Linked DNA regions of Mytilus edulis. The protein of the gene in region 1 interacts with the protein of each later gene in a biochemical or structural test. Links are inferred from orthologs where the notes say so. Each region holds a gene or a part of one and is shown on either strand. Other genes may lie near its edges. The genes, in order: dynamin-1-like protein and mitochondrial fission 1 protein-like.

The links.
Region 2: the proteins of dynamin-1-like protein (region 1) and mitochondrial fission 1 protein-like form a complex in vitro, tested with the Homo sapiens proteins (2 studies listed by BioGRID). The link is inferred for Mytilus edulis from reciprocal best matches to the Homo sapiens genes DNM1L and FIS1.

What each region holds. Positions count from the first base shown.
Region 1 is NC_092344.1:87,704,779-87,720,244, reverse strand, and holds the start of dynamin-1-like protein, read left to right. Parts: upstream 1-7,585; 5' UTR 7,586-7,706; coding exon 7,707-7,808; intron 7,809-8,024; exon of another isoform or gene 8,025-8,073; coding exon of another isoform or gene 8,074-8,175; intron 8,176-15,466. Other genes in the region: CXXC-type zinc finger protein 1-like, read right to left, coding at 7,296-7,331. UniProt on the Homo sapiens protein: Functions in mitochondrial and peroxisomal division.
Region 2 is NC_092346.1:45,787,593-45,804,080, reverse strand, and holds the start of mitochondrial fission 1 protein-like, read left to right. Parts: upstream 1-10,559; 5' UTR 10,560-10,632; coding exon 10,633-10,677; intron 10,678-16,488. Other genes in the region: SPRY domain-containing protein 7-like, read right to left, coding at 9,192-9,308, 10,173-10,278. UniProt on the Homo sapiens protein: Involved in the fragmentation of the mitochondrial network and its perinuclear clustering. Plays a minor role in the recruitment and association of the fission mediator dynamin-related protein 1 (DNM1L) to the mitochondrial surface and mitochondrial fission.

The DNA.
Region 1 (15,466 bases):
ATTCAGTACCAGAAAACTTTTATAAGAACTTCACATCAGTTTAAATTTTCAAGTTTTATAGTTTTCAATTTCCACATTTGTACTTTTATAAAATAATAGTACATCAACCTGTTTGATATTATATTTCTTTCACATAAAACTTGATGTATGTTTAAGATTTTAAAGGTTGTTTTTTATTCAGCTGTAGAGCAGGCTCAATCTGACCCCACTTTCAGTGAACCTTAGAATGCATACATGGCTAAGATAACATGGTTAGTTAACAACAGAATGTTTATAATGATAAATGCCAATTACTTCACATTTATTCAACATGATTAAAGTTTAAAAAAAAAAAGAGGTTGGATAGTATTTCTACTATGAATCAGTTCTCTTTTATATAGATGTCTGGTAGGGTCAGTGTTCTAGGCTAGCTTACATAGTGACAAACCATTAGTCCCCTTCCCCTAAAATGAGTCTCTACATTGTATTTCAGACTTTCCTGATTAACAAACTCTTTAATCTTGTATGAGTGGATACCTTTTAACAAATTTTAAAATCATCTATATAAAGAGAAGGCATCATACCAGCAATATATAGTTTACAAAGTCCACCACCCAAAACATATGGACCCTCATTTAAGATTTTTCTGATCATTTTGTACATCCAAGATTTAATAAGTGTAATTCTTCATACAAATCTGAAGAAGATCTGATAAGAAATGAAGGCAATATCTTGACAAAAAGAATTAGTAAGTAATATTTTTACAAGTCTCCTTTTATAACCAAAAGAAAAATGTCCAACTTAATAGTTTTTTTCTGATTATAGAACTAATCTATAGCTTTGATGAGAGGTTTTATTTGAATAGACAGGAACTCATGCTAACCTTCCCTTCATCTTAATGCTGTAAAATCCCTTAAATCCTAGATAGAGCATTGGATTGGTTGATTGGAAGTAGTTTGACTAGAACACTGGGAATCAGTTTACAACATGTATTTGATAGATCTTGTATTAAATAATGTACTTCCAAAAATGATGCAATTAATTGAACTTGATAATGTGTCTGAAATTTAATATCTCAAGTGTTTTATTATTTAGAGACTTTGTCCATTATTTACCTGTAAATAGCTATGCACATGGAAAATAAGAGCTGAATTGTCAGTCCACATCTTAAAACAATTCATTAATTGGCTTATTGAGGGAAAAAAATTAAAACATAAACTGAGAAAACTAAAATCAAATATTGATTATTTCAAAAAAAAATACTGTTTTCTATGATCAATGATGATGTCTCTGACTGACAATTCACAAGATTGGGCTATATATATGAATAAATAATTTATTAAAGTGCAACCTGAATTGCCATTATATAATACATATGATATGAACATTGTTATTTTCAGCCAGCCTTATAGGCTTACGAAGCACTGTCATTTTAAAACATTATTATAAGATCGTATTAAATATATAAGAATTATCTCCCTTTGACATTTTCTGTTTCTGTATTAATACTTGGAATGCAAAGCTATTTTAAACTTTACAGGAACAACAATATTTCAATTTTTATAATGAACTTATAGGACAATTCATTTTTACATCGACAGAGCTCACCTGGCCCATTCATGATTGCATATCATCTTGATAATCATTCTAGCTAGAGGGAAACTTAAACAGTAAAAAGGATAAGCAAGACAATAATGTTTCTATAATATCCACAAATAAGTCAGTATGGTTGATATCATCAGTCATTTTTGTCAGTTGACTCTTTAATGACATTTGTTAAAAGATTTTGCTTAAAATTTAAAATCTATACATGTTACTGTATCACAAACTTTCTAAAGCAAGATTGATCAGCAAGACTACATTTTGTACATTTACAAATAATTCAGCTTGGCTAAATTTTGAATTGACACATTTTAAGAGTCATTGCACTTGAATGAGATTTCTTTTTTCAACTTTGTGATTTTACCTTTTATCTTGATAACTGTAATAGATCTAGATAAGACACATGAAATAGCAAATGTGATCTGCCAGACAAGATTTACAAACAATGATTTTATAACTCCTTATTGGAGTTAACATGATTAATTGCTCTTGAATTAAGATTTTTACCCATTTTTATAATTTATAAGAGATAGATAGAAACTTTACATATAGTAAAATTAATTGGCAAGCTAAGATCTACATAAAAGTTTAATAACCAAAACCTTCAATTGAGTCCTTATCTACTAAGCCTGAAAACACAGTTATTAGGTCTTTCCACCTTTCCGTGGAAAGACCTATTGGATTTCTTCTGATTATTATTATTATTTTTTTTTTTATTCTTCCGCCTAATTCTTTTCTTGCGTAGTATTGATGTTTCAAAAGATGTCGCTTAGATATTTGGAATATGATATCGTAAAGCGTATGCACTTTTAAAACTAACCACTGCGTAACCAAATACTTTACGTTGTAAGAGTTATCTCCCCAAACACTGTTTTTCTTGTGGCCACTACTCCTTCGCAACCATAAAAGATTACGACAAATTTATTTTGCCAAATTGCTCGTTACATCCTCAGGATGTTCTGTTTTATTTTGACCGAAGCCGTATAGAGACTCCATATGAGAGTTAGTTCCCATTTTGTATTTGAAATTTTGAAATGTATTTTAAACTGGAAAACCATAAGTGATAGAGACCTAGGGTCTTTTGTTTTGAGATCATTGGTCCAAAAAAATGAAAATTAGGTAAAGGTCAAAGGTCAAGGTCATATTCTAAATTTTGATTTTGGCCTATTTTCACTAATTTTCATTAACCTTATAAGATACCGACAAATTATTTTTACTAAATTGTTAGTTGCGACATATCGTAACTTATATATTTTTGTTAAAAGGGTGTGTAGACATAAAATGGGAGTTTTTGCCCCTCCTATATTAAGAATTAAACGTAAAGTGATATAACTCATTAACTATACATATTACAGACCTAGGGTCTTTTTATTTGGGGTCCCTGGTTTATGACCTTGAAATATAGGTCAAGGTCATCAGTAAATTTGACGTTCTAGATTTTGACCTTTGCTCAAAATTCATATTTATACATCATTAAGCCATAGGAACTGACATTTTCAACTGAATTTTAATATTTTCATATCAAAATAGATCCTTATTGGTGGAAAGACCTTCAATTGTTCTCTGAACAATTGGTTTTTAATTTTGAAGTGCATTTCTTTAAGACAATAAATGATTTTTTTTTAATCCCACCTGCGCTTTCTCAATAATATTTTTACAGTGTGTGATGTACTACAAATTGTATCAAAATTATTGAAAACTTCATCTGCTCTAACTCAAATATAGACAATTTTAATTAAGGGGGTCTTGAATTCTTTTGACAGCTTCAGACATATTAATTTTTAACCTTTTTCAAATCAATACTTTATTTTAAAATTCATGACCCACAATTTTTTGCAATGGAATTTCATCCTTCTTGCTATTTGAGGCCTAAAACATTAAAAAAAATTTTTTTAAAGGGTATGAAAAAATTGCAACTATAATTCACTGTCGGCCACAGTACAGACTAATGGACTATATTCATGGACAAAGAAATTCAAAAGGACACTTACTGCGTTCCCAGGCATAGCTATTTAAAAATATATTGCTCTTAAAGGGATAATTCGCGATTTTTCACTTTTCATCTTATTATGTTCATAATACCATAAAAAACATATTCCCCAAGTTTTATTTCGATATGAAAAGTAATAAGGGAGAAAATTTGGAATTAATAATTTTATTTTATCAAACTTCCTGACTTATGTGACGTAGTTTAAGTCTTTGAGCATGCCGGGAGTGAAATTAATCTCATTTAAGTCTTGTTCGTTAACCATCTAATAACGCTATTTAAAGCGCATCGACGACTTTTGGTGTAGCTATTAACCAACGAAAAGTAAGTGACAGCCATGCAACTTTTTAAATTAGATTGTAGGATTCATGTTTGGATTTTTTATACGAATTCTAGTAATTAAAGTAAATAATACAATAGAACATTTTTATGATTTTTTTTCTTCAAATACTTTAAACAAACATATAAAACTGACACGATCGATAGTGTATTAAAAAATACATGTTTGTATTCTGAACTTTTTGCTTCATTCCAGAAAACATTTTCACTTGCTTGTACTGTGGAAATTAAATGTGTATTAATTTGTTACACTTAGTGAATGTTGAATGCGTAGTTAAACTCAAGGTAATTAAAAGATTAGCATTATGTAATTCTAATCTTTTGATCTTCATTCAGTGACACCTAGGCGTCACGGTTCAGCATTTCAGGTGTGAACAACATTTCGTATGAATGATATACGGGAGTCAGTTATAGTTATAGACACAGAAATGTAAGAAAAAGAATTAAAATGAATTTACGGGAGAAATAAGGTCGCACAATAACTGGATAGCTGTTGTATATTTTTATATATATATTTTGCATAAGCTCACTTTTAAATGAATTATGACTTCTGATTAGTTTTGTAACGATAAAATACTGAATTATTTTAATTGAATAAAATTATAAATAAAAATAGCCTTCTAAACACGAGTGTATGAACTAAAAATTGTACTTTTTAAAATTAAAATCGCCAACCTTTAATATTTCAAACAGATTGCAATTATATGATTTAGTCCATCCAAAGCGATCTTTATTTACCTATTTAGGAATTAATATTCTCATCAAAATATTTTAAATCTCACAACCCATGCATGAATACTTCAGCTATTTGAAAAAAAAAGATGTTTTAAAAAATTGACAGGAAATTTAAGTTTCCTCTTGGAATGGAATCGACAAATTACGAATAGAAATTCTTTTCAAGTGTGAAAAACGTCAACCAAATTTATTCATAATCGGGAGCGTCCTTATTAAAATAGTCTTCTTCTCACAACGAATAATACTTTAGCTATTTGACCAACAATGTTTAAAAAAAAAGACAACGAATTTAATGTCATCTTAAGTTCCCTATTTTTGAATGTAATTATAAGTCTGTTCAACTGGCAAGAATACCCCTAAAGCGGACAAGCAGTTTATTCTTTAAATTGATGTCATTGAATTTGAAGAAAGAAAATAAATCCCGAAATCAATTTGAAACTTTAATACTCAAAAGTTTTCCTAGAAAATACTCACATCCCTTGGGGTTTATTAGTGTACGTCCAGTTGCATATGTTTTACATGAATGTCGGAACAATTGTGATGATGTCGAATTTCTTCCTTTCATTGGAGAACGATCTAATTGATATATAAATTTGTGATTTTACTATGTTCATAACTTCGATGAACCGAAGCAAGTTATTATATCGACCTGTATTTAAATCAAATTGGTCCTCTTCTTCTTCTTCTTCTTCTTTTGGTATACAATGGTCTATCGAATTCGATGATTACATACTGTTGGCATACGTGGAATAGTCTATTTACAAAACTGTTACCCCAATTTACACAAAATGTATGTTTCTTTCTTATGTTCAATGTATACATGTAATAATTTTAAATTGCGATATAGCTCCGTAACTTTCTATCCAGGCGTAGAAATGAATCGTCGACAAGTGCGTACATTTTTATTAAATCAATATTTCTGGTATGTTCCAATCTGTCCTTTACTATTGACAACGAGTATATATTACATTTTCCCAAATTAAACCTTGGAAAAAAAATGTAAATAGATTTTTATTTTATCAAATCTTTTTTTTTTGGTATTATTTGTATTTTTATAAATAATATTCTTTACACCAGTAATGTTATTTATAAACAAGCGTATGAGTTTAGTAATGGCTATAGTATATTATATCACTTTCGGACACGCAAGACAGAGATGTATATTATACACCTGATAGTTCAAAATGGAGAGTTATAAGTTATCGGCCGTGTACACTGATCAATACCTACAGAAGTGAAACGATGCATGAACTTGCAAGCCCGACAGGAAATCGTTTGAATACCTGGACGTGTCACCTCACACCCCTCACAATACCTTTGGGAGTAATACCTTTAGTCATGCTGGTGATCAGATGAGGGAATATCCGAATTTATTTGAATAAAATTTATTACTTTAAAGAATTATAAACGAATAAGATTTACGAAAACAGTTTTCACGGAAAACTTATTTATGATTTAAACTTTGACTTTTTAACTAATTCCAATATTAACAGTTTAAAAATAACAGACTATGGTTATTTAAAAAAAAATAAGAACATTTTCTGTATCAAGTTAGTTTGTCAGATAAAACAACCGTACGATTGACAAGATATCGACACGCAATTACGACTACATCGGTTAGTGTAGTTTTGGTCCTTTGTGGTTTATAGACATATCGTGATTTTTAATCGGGGAAGACGACAAAATGGCGGAACGCAGAGAGTTGATACTCTAAATTTAAAATCGATGGTGATCTCTTATCTAGCGGAATAAAACTTTAATATCTATAAATTTGAGCATTTCTATATATAGAATGGACATAATATCAATTTTTGATTTTTTTGCGAAGTTTCCCTTTAAATGACAAATTTTACCATTTTGTTTTTTGTGTTTTTGGACATTGGTAAAGATGCACATAGAGTTTAGAAATAAGAGGTTTAAAAATCCTGTTGTTCACATCATTACCTTCTTAATTGAATGGTTGAAACAGTGCCTCCTAATTTTGTCTGCAAAGATTTAGACTGAACTTCTTATTAATAATAACATAAAAATGTATGGCTAGATAATTTTTTGCAACCTCATATGAATGTGTAAAATGCATGTTTTTATTGGAAATGGTAACGCCTTAAAAGCATGAAAACCCATAAAAGAGGGAGGTTTGGAGGGCCCTAATCCCAAAATCCCAGGCTTAAAAACATGAAATCCTGCAGAAGAAAAAAAATCTTGACATTACGAAATTCTCAAAAACAAATCCTGGATCCCGATAACGGTCAATCCGAAAATCCCTAGCATAAAAACACCCCATCATGACGTCCCAAAAAAGATCATGCCCCCCTCCTCCTTTTCCCCTCATAAAAAAATAATTTTAAAAATGCAAAGGGGAGATAATCACTCAAAACATAATTGAGCTTGTAGGGTTATATCAAGAAATTATGAAAATCCATATCATTCTCAATGTTAAGTAGTCGGATTTGAAGGATAGACGAATTAACTAGTCAGTATCACAGCCATATCAAGCTATAATTTATAGCTATAGGTTTACTTGCAGTTTTAAAAAACCTGATAGTTTTTTTCTAAAGATCATATAAAACTTGTAAATTCATGTAAAAAAAACTACTGATACGGACTTTGTACTATTTTAAAAGTTACACCTGTCTCATATTATAAAACTTACAGACATTCCACTAGCACTGCCTTCAGATTCTGACATAATGAGAATATACTACAACAAAAATTAGTAAGCCAAATCTGTCAATGTGTAATACGTCATCCCTTTTGCTGTCTTGAGAAAGATTTTAGATTAAAATAAAAAATCAGAATCTTTTCGGTGAAAGATATATAAAACAGTCAGAATATAAATATTGTTGAAATTAGAAATTTTCATTAGTAATAAATGTTAATAATCTAATGTCACTGAATGTGTATATAAAATGTTTCGGGGTAATTTAAATCATTCTTTTATTCACCTTATAACCCGGAAGTGAAAAAGTGCCGGAGATAATTTTGGAGTTTATGCCCAAAGCGAAACAAGTCAAATGTCCCTGACTGCTGATTGACATTCAAATAGAAAGTAAACCTTTCAGCGATGGAAGGGCTGATCCCTGTTATCAACAAACTGCAAGATGTTTTTAACACTGTTGGTTCAGAGACAATTCAGCTTCCACAAATTGTTGTGATAGGCAATCAGGTGCATGTCCTTAAAATAATTTGTATTTATCTCTGATGTAATTTCTATGTAAACATCAAATAGAAAGTAAACCTTTCAGCGATGGAAGGGCTGATCCCTGTTATCAACAAACTGCAAGATGTTTTTAACACTGTTGGTTCAGAGACAATTCAGCTTCCACAAATTGCTGTGATAGGCAATCAGGTGCATGTCCTTAAAAATAATTTGTATTTATCTCTGATGTAATTTCTATGTAAACATCAAATAGAAAATAAACCTTTCAGCAATGGAAGGGCTGATCCCTGTTATCAACAAACTGCAAGATGTTTTTAACACTGTTGGTTCAGAGACAATTCAGCTTCCACAAATTGTTGTGATAGGCAATCAGGTGGACCGTGCATGGTATCGGGATCGTTCGCCCTGATTACATGTTCGCCCTAGGTTCGTTCGCACTGAGTTTGTTCGCCCTGATAGTCCGTTCGCCCTGGGTTCGTTCGCCCTATATTCATTTATGATATGTATATGTTACATCAATGAACGAAATATATATATATATATTAAAATTTATTTAAATTTATGTATATCTATTAAAAGTTAAATACAGAATATTTGCCAAATTTATATTAATTAAATAAAAGTCTTGGCTGCATTGTTACACTTTATTTTATAATTACTTTTAATATTACTGTTGATTGAATTTTGATTGCTGAGTAGGTGTCATTTGAAACTTTTGATATGTATCAATAAAGTTTAATATATAAATAACTTAGTCATGTTAGTCTTTAGTTGTTTTATGTCAGGTATAAGTCAGAAACTTATCCTCGTAGAAGCAAGACAACAACTTAGTCTTCAGTTGTTTCACACATTTAAAAATACACAATTTACAGAAACTTATATTTCCTAGTAACGTAATTACATACAAATACAAACTTAGTCCTCAAAAACTTAGAGTCCAAAAATGTACTGAAACTTATAACCTTACAGCATGTAAAGCAGCTAGCTTTAGACAATTCAACATGATACATCGTAAATATTCGGCGAAATTGTAGACCGACTTCAACACATTCAATTATATACACACAACGCAACACTATACTTAAAAATAAAATCAGGGCGAACGGACTCAGGGCAAACAGGTATTAGGGCGAACCAGAATCAGGGCGGACGGACCCGGATTCACCGTGCATGCCCTTAAAAATCTTAAAAAAGTGTTTTTTTATTTATCTGATGTAATTTCTATGACAATGATAGTTAACAGTACATTTAAACTTATACATTAAGGATTGTTTTTATATTGCCATAATGCTATACAGTGTTTTCCATTCGGCATTTAAGCCGACCTTTTGAAAGCCGACCACCTTTCGATTTTAGGAGGTGGTCGGCTTTTTTTTTCAAAATCCGGGTATTTTTCGGTTCCGTACCGTTAAAATTTGAATACTAATCCTGCCTTGTTTTTATTGACAAAGATGGCGTCCAAACGTCAAATTTCAATGTTTTCATTTATCAATCGGGGAAAAAGAAAGGCAGATGACGATGATGATAAAGAAAATACTAGACTAAATAAGTTAAATAAAATTGATAGTAATGTTGGAGTTGTTTGAAATTGAACAAAAATCAACCAAATAACGGAAAAGACACGCAAGTGAAGACAAATATGAGCAAGACTTCAAATGACTTATAGTCACAGAGGAAGGATACTACTGTTCTGTGTGCCAAAAATACGGCACAAAAGCAAGAAACAGGACAGAAACCTGGATTGAAAGGCCTTCAATCCATATTGATGCATAAAATTGTAAATGAAAGTAGAGATATAAGAGATAAATTTTTGAAAAAAAAATAAATCAAAGAATATTTGACAATTAATATGACTAGTACTTCTATTTATGTTTGTTTAACTCCATTAAATGTGAATATTATACTACTCTATTTTTGTGACCCCCACGTGCACCCACAGTAAATAAAAAAAAGGTTGGACATTTAAAAAAAACACTCGGTTGCAAGTTATTTTTTAAAACACCCACCTTACCTTAGTGAAAAAAGGAAAACACTGCTATACCTGTGTTAACCATTAAAGAGGCGTTTTAACTCTGCTCTTGACAGCTACATTGGAAAACGTATCTTCATCGACTATAGTATTCCTATTGGCACCAATTGGGGTGCGACTTTTCACCCCAACATACCCCAATATACCCCAATATACCTCAAAAACAGTTTTAACATAACAGTATTGAATAATAACATTATTTTATGCATTTTCATGTTATTTTAACACCAATAATACTTTAATTTATGAATATAATTAATTTTAAATCACTTTTTGCATTGAAACTTGTTCCGTTCTTGTCAGCCGCTTACGATCACAAAATGACTTTTTACCCCAATATACCCCAATATACTCAAATAAAACGTTTCAGTGCAATATTCATGTTGTGGAATGATATTTTACCCATATTTACTTTTAAAAAACAACCCTATGCACCTCTGTGTGTATTTAGAAGCTTTTAAAACTACTGTTAACTCGAAAACTGATAATGGTAACACTAAAGACCAGGACGGACCTGAAAATATACAGGGCAGTTTTAAATAGCTATTTCTTTTTCACTCCTTCAAATTTAAGTTTTATTCAAGAACATTTGTATTTTCATAATTAAATTTGAATCGTTTTTCATACATGTAGATAAAATTAGAAATATTTAATTTTTTTTTGAAATATCAGGGATCTCCATGGATGAAAATTGAACGCTGGAGGAACTTTCACCATTACAAACCGTGTCTACGCTGTACAGTGTAGCGCGATCGGAAGTATTTTATCCCTCCATACAAGGAATGGTGAACATGCTAATTCATTGCTTATTTAAATTATATTTATTTGAATTTTCATTATAGAATTAGAAGTATCAATATTTTCATTTATTGCCGTTTTTAACCATTCAAATGCCAAGTCTTCTTGGTCCCCCCTTAGTTGAGAATGACCAAAAGCTGTCATGAAAGTCCCCATGTAGATTTCTTGTATTTTTGGTAATTGTTATGGGGGTTAAAAATCATATGATGTGGAGCTTATTTTTCATTTACACTGTCAAATTAAGAACCCATTACCGGTATGGCTGATTTGCAGCAACAACAAAACGATTCGTACGGGTTATGTAAAAGGTTAAAGAGATTTGTAAAGCAAACGTTGACAAATGAAAAGGTTTTTAATGACTTTATCTGGCAAATTTATGCTGTGCAACATGCATCTTTCGAGTCTGAATAGAAACCGGAAACGCAGATGTATCAATTTGATTGTAATATACGAAATGAATTCAGAATTACGATACGATATTTCTTTACAGGAAATATTTAAGTTTTTACTTTTAAACTTTTAAAGTAATTCTAAATATTTTGTACTTCTTAAGAAAAGGGAGATGCTGATTGCGTAAGTCAAAATAAAGCACGTGTTTGACTTGTTAAACTGTTCTCTTTGTAACTGGATTATTAATTTATTTATTTAATCTAAATTATCATAATCATTTGCTGAAACTTAGTTGATTAATTGGACAAATAATTCGACAAATGGATCGTCTATCCTCAGATAGTATTCTGTCTGGTTTGTTGATCTACCTGTATACAAGCTCATGTACAAGTGATTAGCGATCTTAATCCGGATATCCCTCAGGCGTTAGAACTGTATTGGATTATAACATAAAAAGCCTAAGGGTTATGCAATTACATGCATTTGATTATAATTGATAACAAAAAATGGCGTCGGGCTACAAAAAACGATGAAGTTTAGAACGATGGCGGAAGACAATTTAACGATGGCGCAAGACAATTTAACGATGGCTCAAGTCATTTGACGATGGTGCAAGACATTTGAATGATGGCGGGGCGCCATCGTTAAACAGGCCATGGAGATCCCTGTTATATGTACGAAGTTTGTTACCACCTTTACCAAATAAAGCTTTCTCTGATTGTAAATTGCCTTGCCACTTTTCGACATATTTACTAAACATTTTAGACATAACAGTATTGACAACTGAGGTACTATCAACATAATCTGTAATGATACACAAATGTTCTGCTTTATACTCAGAAAACGTTTTCCTTACATAAAAATTCCAATTTTTTATACACTTATGTTTTTATACGACCGCAAAATTTGAAAAAATTTTCGTCGTATATTGCTATCACGTTGGCGTCGTCGTCGTCGTCCGAATACTTTTAGTTTTCGCACTCTAACTTTAGTAAAAGTGAATGGAAATCTATGAAATTTTAACACAAGGTTTATGACCACAAAAGGAAGGTTGGTATTGATTTTGGGAGTTTTGGTCCCAACATTTTAGGAATTAGGGGCCAAAAAGGGCCCAAATAAGCATTTTCTTGGTTTTCGCACTATAACTTTAGTTTAAGTTAATAGAAATCTATGAAATTTTGACACAAGGTTTATGACCACAAAAGAACGGTTGGGATTGATTTTTAGAGTTGAGGTTCGAAACAGTTTAGGAATTAGGGGCCAAAAAAGGGCCCAAATAAGCATTATTCTTGGTTTTCGCACAATAACTTTAGTTTAAGTAAATAGAAATCAATGAAATTTAAACACAATGTTAATGACTACAAAAGGAAGGTTGGTATTGATTTTGGGAGTTTAGGTCCCAACAGTTTAGGAATTAGGGGCCAAAAAGGGACCCAAATAAGCATTTTTCTTGGTTTTCGCACCATAACGTTAGTATAAGTAAATAGAAATCAATGAAATTTAAACACAAGGTTTATGACCATAAAAGGAAGGTTGGTATTGATTTTGGGAGTTTTTGTCCCAACAGAATAAGGGGCCCAAAGGGTCCAAAATTAAACTTTGTTTGATTTCATCAAAATTGAATAATTGGGGTTCTTTGATATGCCGAATCTAACTGTCATGACTGTGTATGTAGATTCTTAACTTTTGGTCCCGTTTTCAAATTGGTCTACATTAAGGTCCAAAGGGTCCAAAATTAAACTTAGTTTGATTTTGACAAAAAATGAATCAGTTAGGTTCTTTGATATGCTGAATCTAAAAATGTACTTAGATTCTTGATTATTGGCCCAGTTTTCAAGTTGGTCCAAATCGGGGTCCAAAATTAAACTTTGTTTGATTTCATCAAAAATTGAATAAATGGGGTTCTTTGATATACCAAATCTAACTGTGTATGTAGATTCTTCATTTTTGGTCCTGTTTTCAAATTGGTCTACACTAAAGTCCAAAGGGTCCAAAATTAAACTTAGTCTGATTTTAACAAAAATTGAAATCTTGGGGTTCTTTGATATGCTGAATCAAAAAATGTACTTAGATTTTTTATTATGGGCCCAGTTTTCAAGTTGGTCCAAATCATGATCTAAAATTATTATATTAAGTATTGTGCAATAGCAAGTCTTTTCAATTGCACAGTATTGCGCAATGGTAAGAAATATCTAACTGCACAATATTGTGAAATAGCAATTTTTTTTTTAATTAGAGTTATCTTTCTTTGTCCAGAATAGTAAGCAAGAAATATCTAATTGCAAAATATTGTGCAATAGCAAGATTTTTTTTTAATTGGAGTTATCTTTCTTTGTCCAGAATCAACTTAAATCTTTGTTATATACAATATACAATGAATATTCACTTTTTACTACCAACTGATAAATTAAAATAATCTTTACCATTCAGTGATAACAAGCAGTTTTTTTACATCTTAATATTTTATGATGTATTTAAATGAGTAGTTATTGTTGCAAACTCCATTAGAAATTTTAATTGAGATTAGTTTTGGAATAAGGGAAAGGGGGATGTGATTAAAAAAATTGGGTTCAATTTTTCTCATTTGAAATTTCATAAATAAAAAAGAAAATTTCTTCAAACATTTTTTTGAGAGGATTAATATTCAACAGCATAGTGAATTGCTCTAAGAGAAAACAAAAATTTTAAGTTCATTAGAACACATTCATTCTGTGTCAGAAACCTATGCTGTGTCAACTATTTAATCACAATCCAAATTTAGAGCTGAATCCAGCTTGAATGTTGTGTCCATACTTGCCCCAACCGTTCAGGGTTCAACCTCTGCGGTCGTATAAAGCTACGCCCTGCGGAGCATCTGGTTTACTCATAATGTCTGCCCATATTAAAATTTTTCTGTTTAAACGATCAGAACTCATATTGTTCAAACGGCACTATAGTCGAATTAAGCATTGCCATTGTTTTTGAAAGATAGGTATCCACCCTACATCCCCTGCAACTGCAGCATTTGGAGTATATTTCTAATTGTTCGTTCTAAGACACCAGGTCCCGTGTAATGAATAGAAAACATTCAAACTAGTCCCCCAAATTGCCTCAAATAATAGATAAAAGGGGAAGGAGAGGGTTTCAGAAACATTAAACCTGTTAAGAAAGTTTTGAATAAGCATTCAATGACATATTTGTCGCTGAACGTCAGATAAACAATGAATCAATACACAAAAATGTGCCAATTTGGGTTACGCAATGTTTCAATCAATCTCATTATAATTAAACCATACTATTGGTAGAGAAATTCACAATTTGTTTTATCAAATTGACAATTTGTTATTTCTAATTGATAATTTGGTATATCGAATTGAAAATCTGTTATATCAAATTGTGAATTTGTCAAGTTAAATCAAATTCATAATCTGTTATATCAAATTCATAATTTGTTATATCAAATTCATAATTTGTTATATCAAATTCATAATCTGTTATATCAAAATTGATAATTTGTTATATCAAATATATATCGTAATCTTGGGGTTATGAAATTTCATGTATATTTTGAACACAGAGAATTACCTCGGCATCCTTTGCAAAAAATTCTTCTATGAGACTTTTGACTTTATGTTTTGAATAGTAGTTCCACTTTCCATATTTGGAGTTTATTCTGAGGCAAGTGTTTGTGCGGAGACTCCAAGTAGACAACATGCATGTCAGTGTATGAGTGTATAACGGGCATAGTAGCCTTTTCTTATAAAATAACGAGTGTTGTCTGTCCGGTACATGAAAAGATCAGTTAGAAAGTAAGGTTTAAATTTTAGTTAGATTGGAAAGCTTAATTCGAGGGTTAAAAATGGAGAGTGCAAAAAAAGAGGGGTTGGGGTGTCCCACTTGGAATATTTTAATTTCATAAACATTACATCTGAAAGGTTTACATTTTTTAGCTCACCTGGCCCAAAGGGCCAAGTGAGCTTTTCTCATCACTTGGCGTCCGGCGTCCGGAGTCCGGTGTTGTCCGGCGTCGTCCGGCGTCGTCCTGCGTTAACTTTTACAAAAATCTTCTCCTCTGAAACTACTGGGCCAAATTTAACCAAACTTGGCCACAATCATCATTGGGGTATCTAGTTTAAAAAATGTGTCCGGTGACCCGGCCAACCAACCAAGATGGCCGCCATGGCTAAAAATAGAACATAGGGGTAAAATGCAGTTTTTGGCTTATAACTCAAAAACCAAAGCATTTAGAGCTAATCTGACATGGGGGTAATATTGTTCAACAGGTCAAGATCTATCTGCCCTGAAATTTTCAGATGAATCGGACATTTCGTTGTTGGGTTGCTGCCCCTGAAATGGTAATTTTAAGGAAATTTTGCTGTTTTTGGTTATTATCTTGAATATTATTATAGATAGAGATAAACTGTAAACAGCAATAATGTTCAGCAAAGTAAGATCTACAAATAAGTCA
Region 2 (16,488 bases), on another chromosome or scaffold:
CTGAAATGCAGTCTGAGTCAACTACTTGAAACATGAAGCCAACTAGCAGTCCTTAAATCAGCCTATAGACGGATACTTACTGTTTATAAAAAGGAAAAAATGGCACAAAATAACATGCTATGTCAGTCTTGTGAAAATTCTGATGTAATCAAATGGAAATGTTTCAACTGTGAACTGAGTTTATGTGATAAATGTAAAGACAGTATTCACACTAAAAGTGATACCTCAAAGGAGCATTTTATAACAGACATTAAAGAAGCAGCTGAGATGATTCACAGACTAGATCCAAGAAATGTCCTGTGTTCAAAACATAAGGAAAATTGTTTAATTTACTGTAAAATGTGTTTAATATCAGGCTGTCAGCTCTGTGCTCCTCTCCACGCCTCTCATGAAGTTGTCAAAATTGAAAAGGCCTACGAAGATCAGATTTCAAAACTTTTTCAAGTAATGGCCACCACAGACGAGGACGTTAAGTTTTTAAATGACAATAGAAAAAATATATCTGAAAAAATCCTGCCAGCTAATTTGGAGAATTACAATGAAATCAAACTCAGAATTAAAGAAAGGGAAAAGAAACTGAAAAAAATGGTCAGCAATGATGCCAAAACATTAATAAGAGAACTTGATGAAAATTATGCATTCAAAGAAAGAGAACTTTTAGATCAAAGAGATAAGATTACATCTAAAATTGATGTGATTAAACAAAGAAAGGTAAAAATATGTGAAGCTGTTCAATCCCGCTTAGCAATATCTGTTTTGAATACTATTGACAAGATTGATGTGAGCCCTTTGAATAAGAAGGAAAAGGAAATTTCTGATAATAAATTAGCATTTACATATCCACTTGAGCCGCAGAGCAGTATTAAGTTTGGATCCTTAATCAAAATTCCAACTTTACAAATATTGCAGACTTATGACCATGATGACCTTGACCTTTATGATACATCTCTTATGAAATCTCTACCAGATGGAACAATTATTATAAAAGAGGATTGTACATTAAGATACATGAACTTTAGAGATTCTGATGTTGTCCATATTGATACGAAAATATTAGAAAATTTGCCTATTGAAGATATGACTGTATGTGATAATGGTGATATTTTGTTTACCATTTCTGAAAGATCTCCATCATCAGCAGAACGCTCAGACATTATGTGTGTTAAGGCAAATGGACAAATAGAAAAAATTACCACAATAGAGCCTCAAGTTAATTTAAGAGGCATTCATGCTACCAGCCACAATATATTTGTGGGATATGAAAGCCCAGACTCAGGATATGAAAGCCCAGACATCGAATATGAAAGCACAGATATAGGATATGAAAGCCCCAAAAAACTGGTATTATGTGTCTTGATTTTAGATTTGCAAGGAAATGTTATTGTAACTTTGAAAGAACCAGGAGTAAAAAGAGAAATTAAAATAGATGAAGAACCTTATTATGATGAGGATGATATTCCATGGAAACTTACTACAAATATCAATGGAGATATACTCATAATAAGTGGGGATATCGAGAGTCAGGAAGGAAAGGTTGTTGCCCTTGATCGCACGGGACAGTTTAAATGGGTATATTTTGGAGTGGAATCTTTTTTCTTTGCACCTTCTCACATTGAAACAACTTCAAATGGTTTAATTCTGGTGCTGAATTGGTCATTTGATGATGACAGTATTCATGTCATTTCATTGGAAGGAGAGTTTCTTACCGAGTTTGGTTTAGAAGAAGGTATAAATAACCCACGCTGTCTACACATTGACCAAAACAATCAATTATATATTGCCTGTTGCAAAGATGACAGACTGGTGATAAAACTTTGCTTGCTAAACTCTCTAATTTAAGAATAATTTGCAACCATAATTTCTTAATGCATACAATGTATCAATACAATGAGAAATAGCCTTTCTCTTTATAGTTATATTATTTTTTACATGGTGTGTTAGGGACCTATAAATACGATATATGTGGGGTCAGTAAATTCCATATTGAGTGAGAACAAAGCTGGAATCCCCATATGGTATTTTCTGACCCAATATATATCGTATTAGGTCACTAGCACACTGCGTAACAAATTTATCTTACGAACCATCTTCACATGTGGTATTTTGACTAGTGGCCTATCAAAGTGATGAAGTCTTCAATTGATACTTTGTATTACAATCCTACTTCCTTTTGTCTATACAGAAAATAAATGACAACAATAACAACTTTATAGCTTTAAATTTGTTTTATGAATTTATCTCAATCGTTCATTACAAGTATCAAAATCTTCGTCTGTTGAATCTTTTCAGATTTCTTTTTATGATTTGAAAGGGAAGTAACTCTGGAATGCCAACAGTAACAACTTGTTAACTTTAATTTTGTTTTATGGCCTAATTTCAACCTTTCACCATTAATTTCTTTGTCTGTTGAATCCTTTCAGATTATTCCTCAACACCATGTTGTTTTTATAGTTTGTTTTTTTTGGTTTTTTTTAAAGGGAAGTAACTCCTTACTAACCCTATATGGTTGGTCACCCTATATGTTACTAGCTTGGTCCCCTCTGTAAAAAACAAGTATGCCTTCGGAATATACAAATATTAACAAGAATTTCAATAACGGCCGGGAAACAGACTATTTGGTAACTAACCATGTATTTTTTAGGAAACCCTATATCAAATATGCATAGTCACCATGTGTAGCCCATTAAACAATCATGTCTATAAGAGGTTAGATAAATATTTATATATATAATGACTGCTTGAGCCAGAAATACAAATTATCTATAGTCTTGTATGCAGACTTTTAAAAAAATCAAATATACTGGTACATGCCAATACAATTTAATCAATCCACACATAATGGACATGTATAAGCATGACAAACAAAGAATCCACAGAAAGCTTCTCATAATGAATTGATTGTGTTTTTCCTTTTCCTTGTGAATTCTTCTTGTCTAATCAAGTGCAATAAATGAAAAAAACTGAGATGACTCTTGGAGGAAAAGATTTGTTTTAAATTAAAAAAAAGTTGTTTTGTATTATAAATTGTGTTTTTTGATGATTTTTGTTTGTTGTTCATGTTCAATAAAATCTCAGAAAATGATTTGTTTAGATAGATTTATTTACTTCAATATATATCATGTATATTTAACAAGATGTAATCAAGTGAAATGTGTTTCAAATAAGTTGAAGATTTTTCATTTTAGTTCAATCTGTTTTTTAATTTCTCAAACTATAGTTGTTTTACTGCATTTATTTTACAAATCCAAAGTTGCAAAGCTTGTTTGGTGTTTTTCAAAGTAAAAAGAAATTAAATTCATACAAAAATACATAAATGTGATATGAATGCAAATTTGCCTGATGATCATATGTTAAACTATCTATTTCAGTAACCTGTATAAACCAATAATTTTACTGCATCGTAGTTATAAATCCCTTGTATCATGGAAGTATTATATATCATGTTCAAACTAAAAAGAAGTGAAATTTATTTAAAAATACAGGGATGTGGTATAATTGCAGATGAGACAACTATCACCTGAGTCCAAATGGTGCAGATATAAGCAACTTAATTTAATGTGCTGTGATTAATAGAATTGAGAATAAAAATGGGAAATGTATCAAAGAGATAGCAACTTGACCATAAAGCAGATAACAGTCCATTTAAGAGGGCTAAAAAACTCTTCTCTATCCTGAGACAGTTGTGTAACCAGCTCAACATAAGATCAAACTAGTAAAAACAGTATGAAATGGCTTTCTTGTTGATATGAAAGACAAAAAAGAATCTAACAAAAACTTTAAAGACGCAAAGTACCAATCTATAAAGAGTTCTCACAGTAACTGAAAGCTAGTTCAAAGCCAATAACAACAAAAAAAGAAATCAGTTTCTCTCTGACTAAAGTACATCCAACAGATTTAGTGTACAGACTATAAACCCACTCTGGGGAAACTTCTTTTATTGTTCAATTTATTCTCACTTAAGTATGCATGAACAAATTGCCAGTGGACATTATGTGAAAAACTGAGTCAAGTATAAATCACGAACTCAATTTGCAAAATGTTTAAAAGATGGCATTTGTCTTCTTGTTTTGTGGAGGTTGAAAACTCATAACTCAAGAAAGGAATAATAAACACAACAGTAAATAAAATTGAGAATGGAAATGGGGAAGGTGTCAAAGAGACAACAACCCAACCATAGAGCAGTTAAGGGTCGAAAGTCACCAATATGTAAAATTATAATATAATTATCAAACAAAGATTTTGACAGTTGGAGAGTAGGACCTTAGATAGTCAATAATTGCTATCTTCTACACACAATAATGGGCGACATTAATTAACATGAATAATATGGCTGCCATTATGACTACTGAATGTTACTTTTGCAGAGAAAAATAATTTTGTTTTCAAAATATTACTTTCTGTTATGGAAATTTTTTTAAGTCTAGTGTAATAGATGTGCCTTGATATGCCTAGGTTAATTCCCCTTAATTTGGACAAATTAATTATTTAGTATTTAAATGTTTATTTTAAGTTAAATTTGATTTAAATATAGTAGGATAAAAGTAAAGAATGTTAATTTAACTGTTTTAGTATTTAACTTTTGATGTTTTTATAATGTTTTAAGAATATTCATTTATTTAACTTTTCTTCAGTACCTTTTATGTTAAAGTTAGCCTGTTTAATGAAAAGTTTAGGATATCATTTGATATTCAGTCGGAGTCGGCCTTGCACAGGCCTCCAAATACTCGCCGGAACTAATATTAGTACTAATCGAGTCTAGAGTTAGCCACCACTTCGGTGCAGTTCGCCAGAGTTAGTCACCCCTTTTTGGTGCAATTTTACTACTTTTAAACACAACGCAAAGCAATTTTACTTTATTTTACTTAAAAGACTAACTCTGGGAACACTCTAGTTTTCATTTTACATTTGAAATTACTTTATTTTTGAACTTCATTTAAGAAAGTTTTCTGACTCCTGTTTTATCCGACTTTGTTTAAATTCATGCAATTATTGTACATTTGTGAATAAAATATAGTTTTCATTTGATTAATTGTTTGTTGTTCAGCCATAATCTGATATCAGGTATTCCGATGGTCGAATAGGGGCGAAGTACTGGCCACTACACGTCCCGGGAGGTGTCGTCACCGACCCCCTCCGTTACAAATGGTGCCGTGACCAGGATACCTGATCCCTCAGTTTTGGTTTGAATATTTTTATTACATTTATTTTTGATTTTGTTCAATTTTTGATTTTCAAAATGATGAAGTTTGAACAGAAACCTTGTACTTTTGACGGTGTTAGTGCCGATGTACAAGATTATTTTATTCAATTTGAAGCAGTTTGTCTTTGGAATAACTGGAATTTATCTGAAATGGCTCTTCAGTTAGTAATAAACTTAAGAGAAGAAGCACGAACTATTTTACGTCTTCTTACTCCAACTCAGTTGCTAAGCTATGATTTTTTGAAAAGTTTACTTTTGCAACGCTTTAATCCTAAGGAAAGGATAGCTTTTTATAAATTTCAACTGAATAATTGTACAATTTTGCCAGATGAATCTGTGTTTGATTTTGGACATAGATTCAAACTTTTATGTCATCGTGCATATCCAGATAATTTTCAAAGTATGCAAATTTATTTTATGGATCTTTTTATTGGAAAGTTAGAGAAGGAAATGGCAAAGTTTGTCCATTTTAAGCATCCTGAAACTTTTGATGATGCTATATTTTTGGCTACAGAGTTTGAATGTTTTAATTTGACAGTTGAACCTGTTGAATGTGAAATTAAGGAAAGTGAAGAAAACTGTGATTTTAGTTGTTTGAAGTCTGGTTTTGATCAAATTGTCAAAGTTCTTAAAAAGCTGGTTTATAAGAAGTTTAAAGTAAAAAAATGTTTTAATTGTTTGGTAGTTGGACATATCAGAGCTAATTGTCCCAATAAAGTTTGTAAAAGTGTCAATTCTGTTCATGTTGTTGAACCAGAAAAACCAGTTTCTACTGCAGTTCATAAGAAAGTAAAAAAATCATGCAAAGTTGTCAACAAAGTTCAAAATTTATTTTCATTTGATTTGCAAAGCTGTTTATCTGATTATTTGATTTCTAGCACGGATGAGTTTTCTTGTTTGAAGGATAAGCCAGTTAAAGTTTTCATATAGTATGTTTTTTTAGTTTTAATTTGTATATTTAGTATTTTACTTATTTTGTCACTTTATATTATTGTTTAGTAGGTATGGTTTCAAAGTTTTCATTGGATTTGTTGTTTTTCTTGGTCACGTTAATGAGCCGGTTTTGCCATCAAAACACCCTCAAAACGTTGTTTGATTTGATTGTGTTTTTCTTTAGATGTTGGTTTGTTTAGTTTGTAGCTAAGTTTCTTGTTTGAATAGGTTTATTTATGAGTTTGCTCATTTTTTTGGATTTTTAACCTTTCTGAACAAGTTTTATTGTTTTAAATTTGTTTAGTTTGGTTATGGTTTTCCTTTTGTGACTTTTATAAGTCATGGCAGAAATCTATTGAGTGGCAGAAAGTTTAAGTGTGAAGACAACCACCTGATAAAGTAAGCAGTTCTTGTTATCAAGAGCACCTTTCTTACTCTTTGTACAACGTTTGAACTTTGATCATCTTGAACCCGGAATCACATGTTATACGTGATTCCGTGAGATCTACAATGGTGGACTAAACCTGGTACAACGATAGACTTTTTAGAACCCGAAAACACACGTTTAAAGTGTTTTCGTGAGAACAACAATTGGTGGACTATACCTGGTACAACTTGGACCATGCAGATTATCCGTATTACCATTCCGTTTCCGTTTGAATCTAGAACTGTGTTTTATTGAATGCTGTATAACTGTGTCCGTTTACATTTATATTCTATGGACCGTACTTTATAATTTGTGTTTACCGACTATTCCTGGATGTTTATACTGTGTGAACTTTTCCTATGGTTGGACCGTGTGATTATTTGACATTTTTGTGACATTTATTGACATTTTTTGTGCATTGATTTATATTTTTGTTAATTATTTTGAACACATCTATTTTAAATAAATCTTTTCCCAAATATTAATTTCTTTAATATTTGTCCTAAGGGGGGAGGATTGTAATAGATGTGCCTTGATATGCCTAGGTTAATTCCCCTTAATTTGGACAGATTAATTATTTAGTATTTAAATGTTTATTTTTAGTTAAATTTGATTTAAATATAGTAGGATAAAAGTAAAGAATGTTAATTTAACTGTTTTAGTATTTAACTTTTGATGTTTTTATAATGTTTTAAGAATATTCATTTATTTAACTTTTCTTCAGTACCTTTTATGTTAAAGTTAGCCTGTTTAATGAAAAGTTTAGGATATCATTTGATATTCAGTCGGAGTCGGCCTTGCACAGGCCTCCAAATACTCGCCGGAACTAATATTAGTACTAATCGAGTCTAGAGTTAGCCACCACTTCGGTGCAGTTCGCCAGAGTTAGTCACCCCTTTTTGGTGCAATTTTACTACTTTTAAACACAACGCAAAGCAATTTTACTTTATTTTACTTAAAAGACTAACTCTGGGAACACTCTAGTTTTCATTTTACATTTGAAATTACTTTATTTTTGAACTTCATTTAAGAAAGTTTTCTGACTCCTGTTTTATCCGACTTTGTTTAAATTCATGCAATTATTGTACATTTGTGAATAAAATATAGTTTTCATTTGATTAATTGTTTGTTGTTCAGCCATAATCTGATATCAGGTATCCCGATGGTCGAATAGGGGCGAAGTACTGGCCACTACACGTCCCGGGAGGTGTCGTCACCGACCCCCTCCGTTACACTAGAAACAATATCATTTTACCTGTTTTTGTTGCCCTTTAAAAAACCTGTGTTAACTGAATCATCAAGACTTTTAGTGGTACATATATATTGTATTTTATTTCTTTCACACATGCAAATGATATATATATTATCTTCAAATGGAGTTCTGTGGACAGATTTATTTTCTTGGATTGAGAAAATCTTGCATTTTATTTGTTATTTGGTTTTGTTAATTCGTCAGTTTCTGTATACATTAATGACATTCCTACTATAGAATAAACGGAATTTGTTGAACATTTAAATTCAAGGTTCCCTTCTACTCACGAAATCCATGAACACTAACATTTACAGATAAATAGATATCCCCAAAAATCAAACCATTTCAGAATAAAAACAACTGAAATTACTAATTATTAACACTTATAAAAAACATCACATGGTTCTTAAAAAATAAAACTGTATAAAAGTTCTTACAAAAGTGAAGTGTTATCAAAGGGACATAACCAGTAAATTACTGATCTGAACCACTTTGTTAGAATGTTATAATAACAAATCAAAGTGTTGCCTTATCATTGTGTAAGCAAGAAGATATATTTATCACTTATACTCCTAAGAATGACCACTCAAATGCAAATTATTTTTCTTACATGAAATAATATGTATCAAAAAGTTGGGCTCAATTTTTTGGCTTAATTAAGAAATCAAATATATAGCAATTACTTTAATAGTCTTCATTGAAAAAGAGTAGGGGCAATAAGGCCCTTATTTGGCCCAAAAATTACTGAAAATTTTAAAGTAATCATACATATTGTTAAATTACTGAAAATTTATCTAAGGTATAAGGTACAAACAAAAACACAAAAAAAAATGACATCAACAAGTTACCATGGCAACAAATCATAACCTAATTTGCATATTTTGTTAAATTTCGTGATTTTCCTTGTTTTTTCATCAAATTTTTAAGTATATTTTAGACTGAAAAAGTATGTGCGCACCCAAGAAACAACTTTATATTTGATGAGATAATGCCAATAGTTATAATAAAGCTTTTGTTAAATTATTTTGTTGTTTCTCGGCTGCGCAGGATGTCTCCACAACAGAAATAAAGTCAGAAAACTGCATAATTTCTGTATTTTTCATGGTTTTTGTAAAAACAGTTCATATTATGACTTAATTGTGAGGTCATCAGATACAAATCTTAATGTTTTTCATTTATATTTCTTGACCCTAAGCATTTTTAAACATTATGTGCCAATTTGAAATAGTTATCAAACATTTCATTTTCTTGGGCCAAAACTAGGCCTTATATTGCCCCTACTCCTTTGTTCTTTTTTAAAAATAAGTTAAATTCTGGATAGTTTTCTGGATGTAAAAAATTATATTAATACTTGGTTTCAAAATCAATCTATGAATTACCTGTACTCTGTAGCTTTACTTCAAAGTAAGCTTTATCTTGTGCTATAGGAGCATTTGACAATGCTGCACCTGTTCCACATATTCTTTTACCACTTTTCACAATCACAACATCATTACCTGAAATGTTAAACACATGTACATTTTTACATTTAAGCATAAAAAAATAATTATCAACTAAGCATAAATTTACTAAAATAACAGAAAATTATCAAAAGTATTAATGTAACTTTGAAGGGGTTTCATTGGGGGGTTCTGATCACGGATCCTGCTTACTGTTTTGTCATATTCCCGTATCCCGCTTACACTATATATGTAAGCAATTCTCATTTTTTTATCATTTCCAGGGTACCGCAAGACCTCATTTCCCGTTTTCACGCCACAATAATTTGACTTTCACATGTCACGCTTACAAAAAATCAGCAATTTCGCATCACGCTAATAGACCCCAATGAGACCCACTTTGAATTTTGTATTATAATAAATTTAAAAACAGCTTTCGTTTTCTGAATCAAATTTTTATAGGTAGTTTCTTTAAACACATAAAACAATTTTAAGGTGACAATTGACATGAATGTATCCTTCCTTAAGATTGTTTATAGCTTGTTAAACTAATATATTTCTATATTTTTTTTATATAATTAATTTACAAAAAGATCTTTAAGATACCTATATGGTGGTTCTTATTAGGATCAAAGTCTGTTGCAGGATTCACCCATTTTTCTAATGTGTGACAGAAACAGAAACAATGTTCGGCGTAAATGTAAAATAATATATATCACAAGTGCTAGTAGTAGTATTGCAAATTATGATAGGCATGATAAGTGAGACACATGATTCTGACAAAACAATAAGCAAGTTTAGGATCAGAACCCTGAAGTAGTGCCTGAAGTGAGCACTATATATCTTATCATTGTTGATAGAATTTCCTGTGATACAAACAAAACAAAAACTAAATTATTTTCAAAAAATTTAGTGATTTACCCATGTGATTTGTGTCAAGTTGTACTGTTGGAATTTCCTTCAAGGGTATATGTCCTGAATTGCCATTTAGCATTCTTAAACAGCAAAGACATCTTGTAAGTGACATTTTACTATATTACTAATTTTGAATCAAAATATTGTTTTGATGTGGAAATCCGGAAACTAGTCTGAAGGTAAAGTTATGTTTTTAAACTGTAAAGACAAATTTGTAATCTTTAACATAAATCGTTGCCTTATATGTCAATTTTAGAGACTTGGTAACATCATTTGTTCTTATCTTATTCTAAGAAAGACATTATTTTGGATGAAATGTGTATTTTCCATGACTGCTTTATATTCGTTCCATCTCGGAAAGTGGTCTAATTTTATGTTTCCACGTAAGCGCAATCTTGCTAATGTTTTAGGACAACTTATTGATATGAAATGTGGGAAAGCGTTTAATTGACATTGATTTCTAGAAATGGATCGGATTGTGAACGAAATTTGCGACGAAAATGACTTAAAGGTACGAATAAATGTCTAGTGTCTCTTCATACATTTGACCAAATCATGCAATATGGATAGAATATATGAAGGGAAAATAAACATACAAAAAACCTAAATTATAGTGTTGTCAAAGAAAGAAGGAGCCAGAGAGAAAAACACACAGTGGTCAGTGACCAGTCAGGGGACTTACTTAATGAGTGATTTAGAAGAGTGATTTTCTGAATCACTGATTCAAGTAACATTATGTTCATAAAGGTTGGAAGTTAGAGTTGTCTCTCTTTAATAATCACCTATTTAAGTAGCACAAATTAATCACTAGAAGAAGTGATTTAATCTTATTGTAGCTTCAAATATAGAATACTAATGATTCAGGGACTAATTATGTTTCTAAACTTATCAGAACCAACATCTGTGTTGTCTAGGATGACCAGGTGTTAAGAATTGCGCTAATATTAACGTACCTTTTTGCGGTACGGCAGCTATCTTTGTGACGTCGCGTTATTGTTATACTTTATGTTGTATTGAATAGAAACGTATAATGGCAGACGTAGTTCTATCTTTAACGCCTTAGATAACTTACGATAAAATACACAACGCAATATTCTACATTGGTGCCGTGACTTCAAACGGAGAGAATGGACATCAGCCGATTAAAATCCTTGAGAGCGGGGAACAAAGCAGCAGTAACAAAAGTTTTCAAAAAACTGGAGGAAGCCATCGGAGATTCACAAATAGACACGGAGGAAGTATCAACATTGCTCGAAGCAATTGAGAAGAAAAAGAAGACGTAAGCCTCAATAGATGAACAGATATTAAATGCAGTCGAATCAGAAGATATTACAAATGAAATTCTTGAAACAGATGAGTATTATTTAGATTTAGAGGGTAAAATTCGAAAATTTAAGAAGTTCTTAAAGCCCGTAACAAACGCAACATCTTCTATACTAGATTCAAACGCACCAGAGTTTGTTCTGTACACAAACCCCTTCACTCACACAAGTCAGCCATTATCTCAGTCAAGTTCGACCTCAAGTAATAACCATCGCCTACCAAAGCTATCTCTTCCCAATTTTAATGGAGACATTCTACAATGGCAATATTTCTGGGATTCATACGAGACCACGATTCATCACAATCACACATTAACTGACATTCAGAAATTTTCGTACTTGAACTCATTGCTTCAATTTGAAGCTGCAAACGTAATTTCAGGATTGACCATGACAAATCCAAACTACCACAAAGCAATTGAATTATTGAGAAACCGCTATGGGCAACCACATAAAATCATAAATGCATATATGAGAGCACTACTTGATATACCCGCACCACATGATACATTAGAAAGTTTGAGAACATTTCATGACAAATCAGAAGCTTACATACAGGGTCTAGAGTCTCTTGGACAATGTCAGGAAATGTACGGATCGCTATTGATACCAGTAATTCTCGGGAAGATACCGCATGAAGTATGAAAAAATATAACACGAGAAAACGGGAGCGACAGTTGGAATATTCAATCGCTTAGAAACGCGATAGGTAAAGAGATTTCTATTCAAGAGTCCGGATACGGAGATTATACGCAGACGTATTCAACCGCCACTCCTAGCGCAAATTTCATAACAGGCGTTAAACGAGTAACTACAGATAAAACCCGTCCGATAAACACAACAGACAAATCATTCAACTCGAATCGGAAGAAACAATGCACATATTGTGACGGAAACCACTGGCCTAACGAATGTAAAGATATCATAGATCACGATAAAAGAGTAGCCATTATAAAGGAAAGAGATTATGCTTTAATTGTTTAGGTAAGCATAAAATAGCCGATTGCAAATCCAAGAATATGTGTAAGTGTTGCCACCGGAAGCATCACTCTTCATTATGTAAACAGAACTCGTACTGAAATAAACATCATATTGAAACTGAACAATCGCAAAATAAAGTAGACACAGAAACTTCTATGTTGTATACCGCTAGCGAAGAAAGGTCCACTGTTTTACTGAAAACCGCATTCAGTCCAGTCGTTCACAAAAATACATGTACACTGTATAGATGTATTTACACATAGAATACTCTTTGACGAGGGAGCTCAGCGCTCATTTATAACGGAAGAACTAGCAGCTAAATTGGACATTAAAAAAGAAGGTTCTGAAACATTAAGTATAGCTACATTTGGAAGTACTACAAAAAAGGTGAGAAATCTTGACAAAACAACAATTAATCTTAACTCTACCGAAGGAGAATTAATCCCTATTAAAGTTTTAATTGTACCAACCATTGCTTCACCACTTCAAACTCACAACATAGGAATAACGCAGAAGTTTTCTTATTTACGTGGTCTACAATTAGCACACCCAGTCATGGATGGAGAGCAATTTGAAATATCCTTATTAATTGGAGGTGATTTCTACTGGGACATAGTTCAAGACAAAATAGTGCGTAGAAACGGTCCAACCGCAGTTAGCTCGAAAATTGGATATTTACTTTCCGGTCCTGTCCCTACACGAACCAGCAATGCATCTTTCTCAATGATGAATATACTAGTTTGTCACAAACAAGAAGAGTGCGATCTTGAACAATTTTGGAAGCTTGAATCGTTGGGAATTGACGTTAAAGAACAAAATGATCCAGACCTAGCTGAATCAATTGAAAATTACTTACAAACCTCTATTACGAAGAAAAATGATAAGTATATTGCGAAATTACCATGGAGAGAGAATGCGCCAGAACTACCGACAAATAAAGACATCGCAAAACGCAGAACGGAAAGCGTTATTCGTCGACTGAAGAAGGATCCGGAGATGTTCCAAAAGTATGGTGAGATAATTACAGACCAAGAACAAAGAGGATTCATTGAAAAGGTATGTGATGAAATTACATGCACAAACAAGGTTCATTACATTCCGCATCATCCCGTAAAAAAGGATTCAGTCACCACCCCGATACGCATAGTATATAACTGTAGCTGTAGAGCGAACGACAATAGCCCTTGTCTTAACGATTGCCTAGCAACATATCCACCAATTATGACTGATTTGACGGAGATATTAGTACGCTTTAGAATGTACAAATATGCAGTTACAGCAGATATTGAAAAAGCATTTTTGCATATTGAATTAGATGTTGATGACAGAGATGTCACAAGATTTTATTGGTTAGAAAATCACATGGACACAGAAAGCCGTTTGATTACTTACCGGTTTAAAGTTGTACTTTTCGGCGCCACCTGTTCGCCATTCATGTTAAGCGCCACACTAATGAAACATTTTAGAGACAATCCGTCAACTACATCAACTGAATTACAGAGAAACTTATACGTGGATAACGTTCTGACCAGTTTTACAGATGAACAATCACTTTTGAAATTCTACACGGAGTCAAGAAAATTATTGTCAGAAGCAGGATTCAACTTACGGTCTTGGAATTCTAATAGTACGGAATTACAGAACGTCGCAGGACTAGACAAGATCGGCGACAATGACGACATAGTCAAAATTTTAGGCATGAGATGGGATAGGGAATCCGATGATTTGAAATTTCAACAGATTGAATTTATGGAAAAGGACAAAATGATAACAAAACGTGAGGTTTTGCGCACATCGTCTAGAATTTTCAACCCCCTTGGATTAATCACGCCAATTACGGCGAAAGCTAAGCTGTTTATGCAGACTAATTATGGAAGGCAAAGTTGGATTGGGATGAATGTTTGTCCGACAAACTGAGAAGTAAATGGCAGGTAATAGCTTTAGATATCAAGGAGGCTACCAAAATAGTATTTCCACGAATGTTAACGGAAGGAGTATTTAACGAGAAAACGTCACTACATATTTTCACAGACGCCAGTCAGTTAGCATACGGAGCTTGTGCTTACTTAGTTACAGCAAATTCATCGATCCTTGTCATGGCTAAAAACAGAGTAGTACCCGTTAAACCGATTTCATTACCACGTTTAGAACTTATGGGCGCGCTTATCGGCGCCAGATTAGCAACGCATCTTCTTAAAGTCATAACAACAGAACATGTGTATATGTGGAGCGATAGTCAGATTGTTTTGAGTTGGATTAAATCGTCAAAAATATTAAAACCGTTCGTAGAAAATCGACTTAAAGAAATACGAAAATTAACAGAGAATGCTGAATGGAATTATTGTCCAACAGATGACAATCCAGCTGATTACTTAACTCGCGGAATTTACGCTTAACAACTTTATAACAACAGCTTATGGATGAACGGTCCACAATGGATTTTAAATCGTAAAAATTGGCCGACATGGACAAGGAAAATTGAAGATTGCAGCACGATGGTAACTGTTAGTGATGAAAATACAGAAGATGAAAGTACAAATGCTTCAACACAGACAATTTCATGTATAGATATACAACGATACAGATCTTTAGAAAAAGCAATTAGAGTAACAGCATACGTCTTGCGCTTTATACAGAATTTACGGAACTCAAGAGAACGAACAATCGGATTTATCAGTGTTGAGGAGCGATGTAAAGCATTAGAAGTTCTAATAGTAACAGCACAACAGCAAACATTTAAGGATGAAATTGAAAGCTTGAATTCATCTTCACAGAAAAAAGTGCAACTTGTTCGACAACTTAAACTTTATACAGACAAAAGCGGATTACTACGTTGTACCGGGAGAATACAAAACGCACCTGTTAAGGAGAGTACTAAATATCCGTTGTTATTGCCAACACACCACAGTCTTATGTCCTTTATCGTAATGGATGCACACACAAAGACTTTTCATGCCGGACTTAACAGTACAATCGCATATATTCAACAGAAATATTGGATACCGAGAATAAGACAGTGCGTAAAATCACAAATTCGTAAATGCGTTCAATGCATTAAAATATCAGGAATGCCTTACAGCGCACCCGATCCGCCACCGCTTCCTAAAGATCGAGTCAACTACGATTATCCTTTTTCAGTAACCGGCGTTGATTTCACAGGAGCTTTGTATACAAAAGGAAAACACAACGAATTAAGCAAAACATATATTTGTTTATTCACTTGCGCCGCTACACGAGCTATACACTTGGAGATAGTCACAGATTTAACCGAGGAGTCTTTCATGCTTGCTTTTAAAAGATTTGTCGCTAGAAGATCTACACCAAGGATTATGTTGTCCGATAATGCAACAACCTTCAAGGCAGCCGCCGAAAAGATTACAAGATCAAGCAAAGACAACCGAATACAAGAAAAACTTGCCGATCAAGGAACTGAGTGGAAATTTATACCCAACCGAGCACTGTGGTTTGGAGGCTTTTGGGAAAGCCTAATTGGACTCACGAAAAAGTCAATTAAAGTAATACTAGGAAAGTCATGTGTCACTACGGAAATGTTGAATACAATTGTAATCGAAATCGAGGGAACTCTAAATAATCGTCCTATAAATCACATTTCTACTGATATTAAAGATCCCGAACCGCTGACGCCAGCGCACCTGTTATATGGTCGTCGACTTGACAACCAATCGGAACAGAATATTGACAGTGTTACTTCAGAAGACTTGCACGTGAAACTGAATAAAAATCTACAGAGAAATAATGAACTAATCAACCATTTTCGCTCAAGATGGAAACACGAATATCTGACGTCACTCTGAATTCCACCGTACATCTGGAAGAAACGAACAAACAATACAAATAGGTGACATTGTACAAGTACACAATGACACAAATCGAATAATGTGGAAATTAGCAGTTGTACAAGATTTAGTTCGTGGAAAGGATGGACTCATTCGATCAGCTGTTATCAAGACCGACACAGGAATTACCAACCGTCCGATTGTGAAGCTCTATCCGTTGGA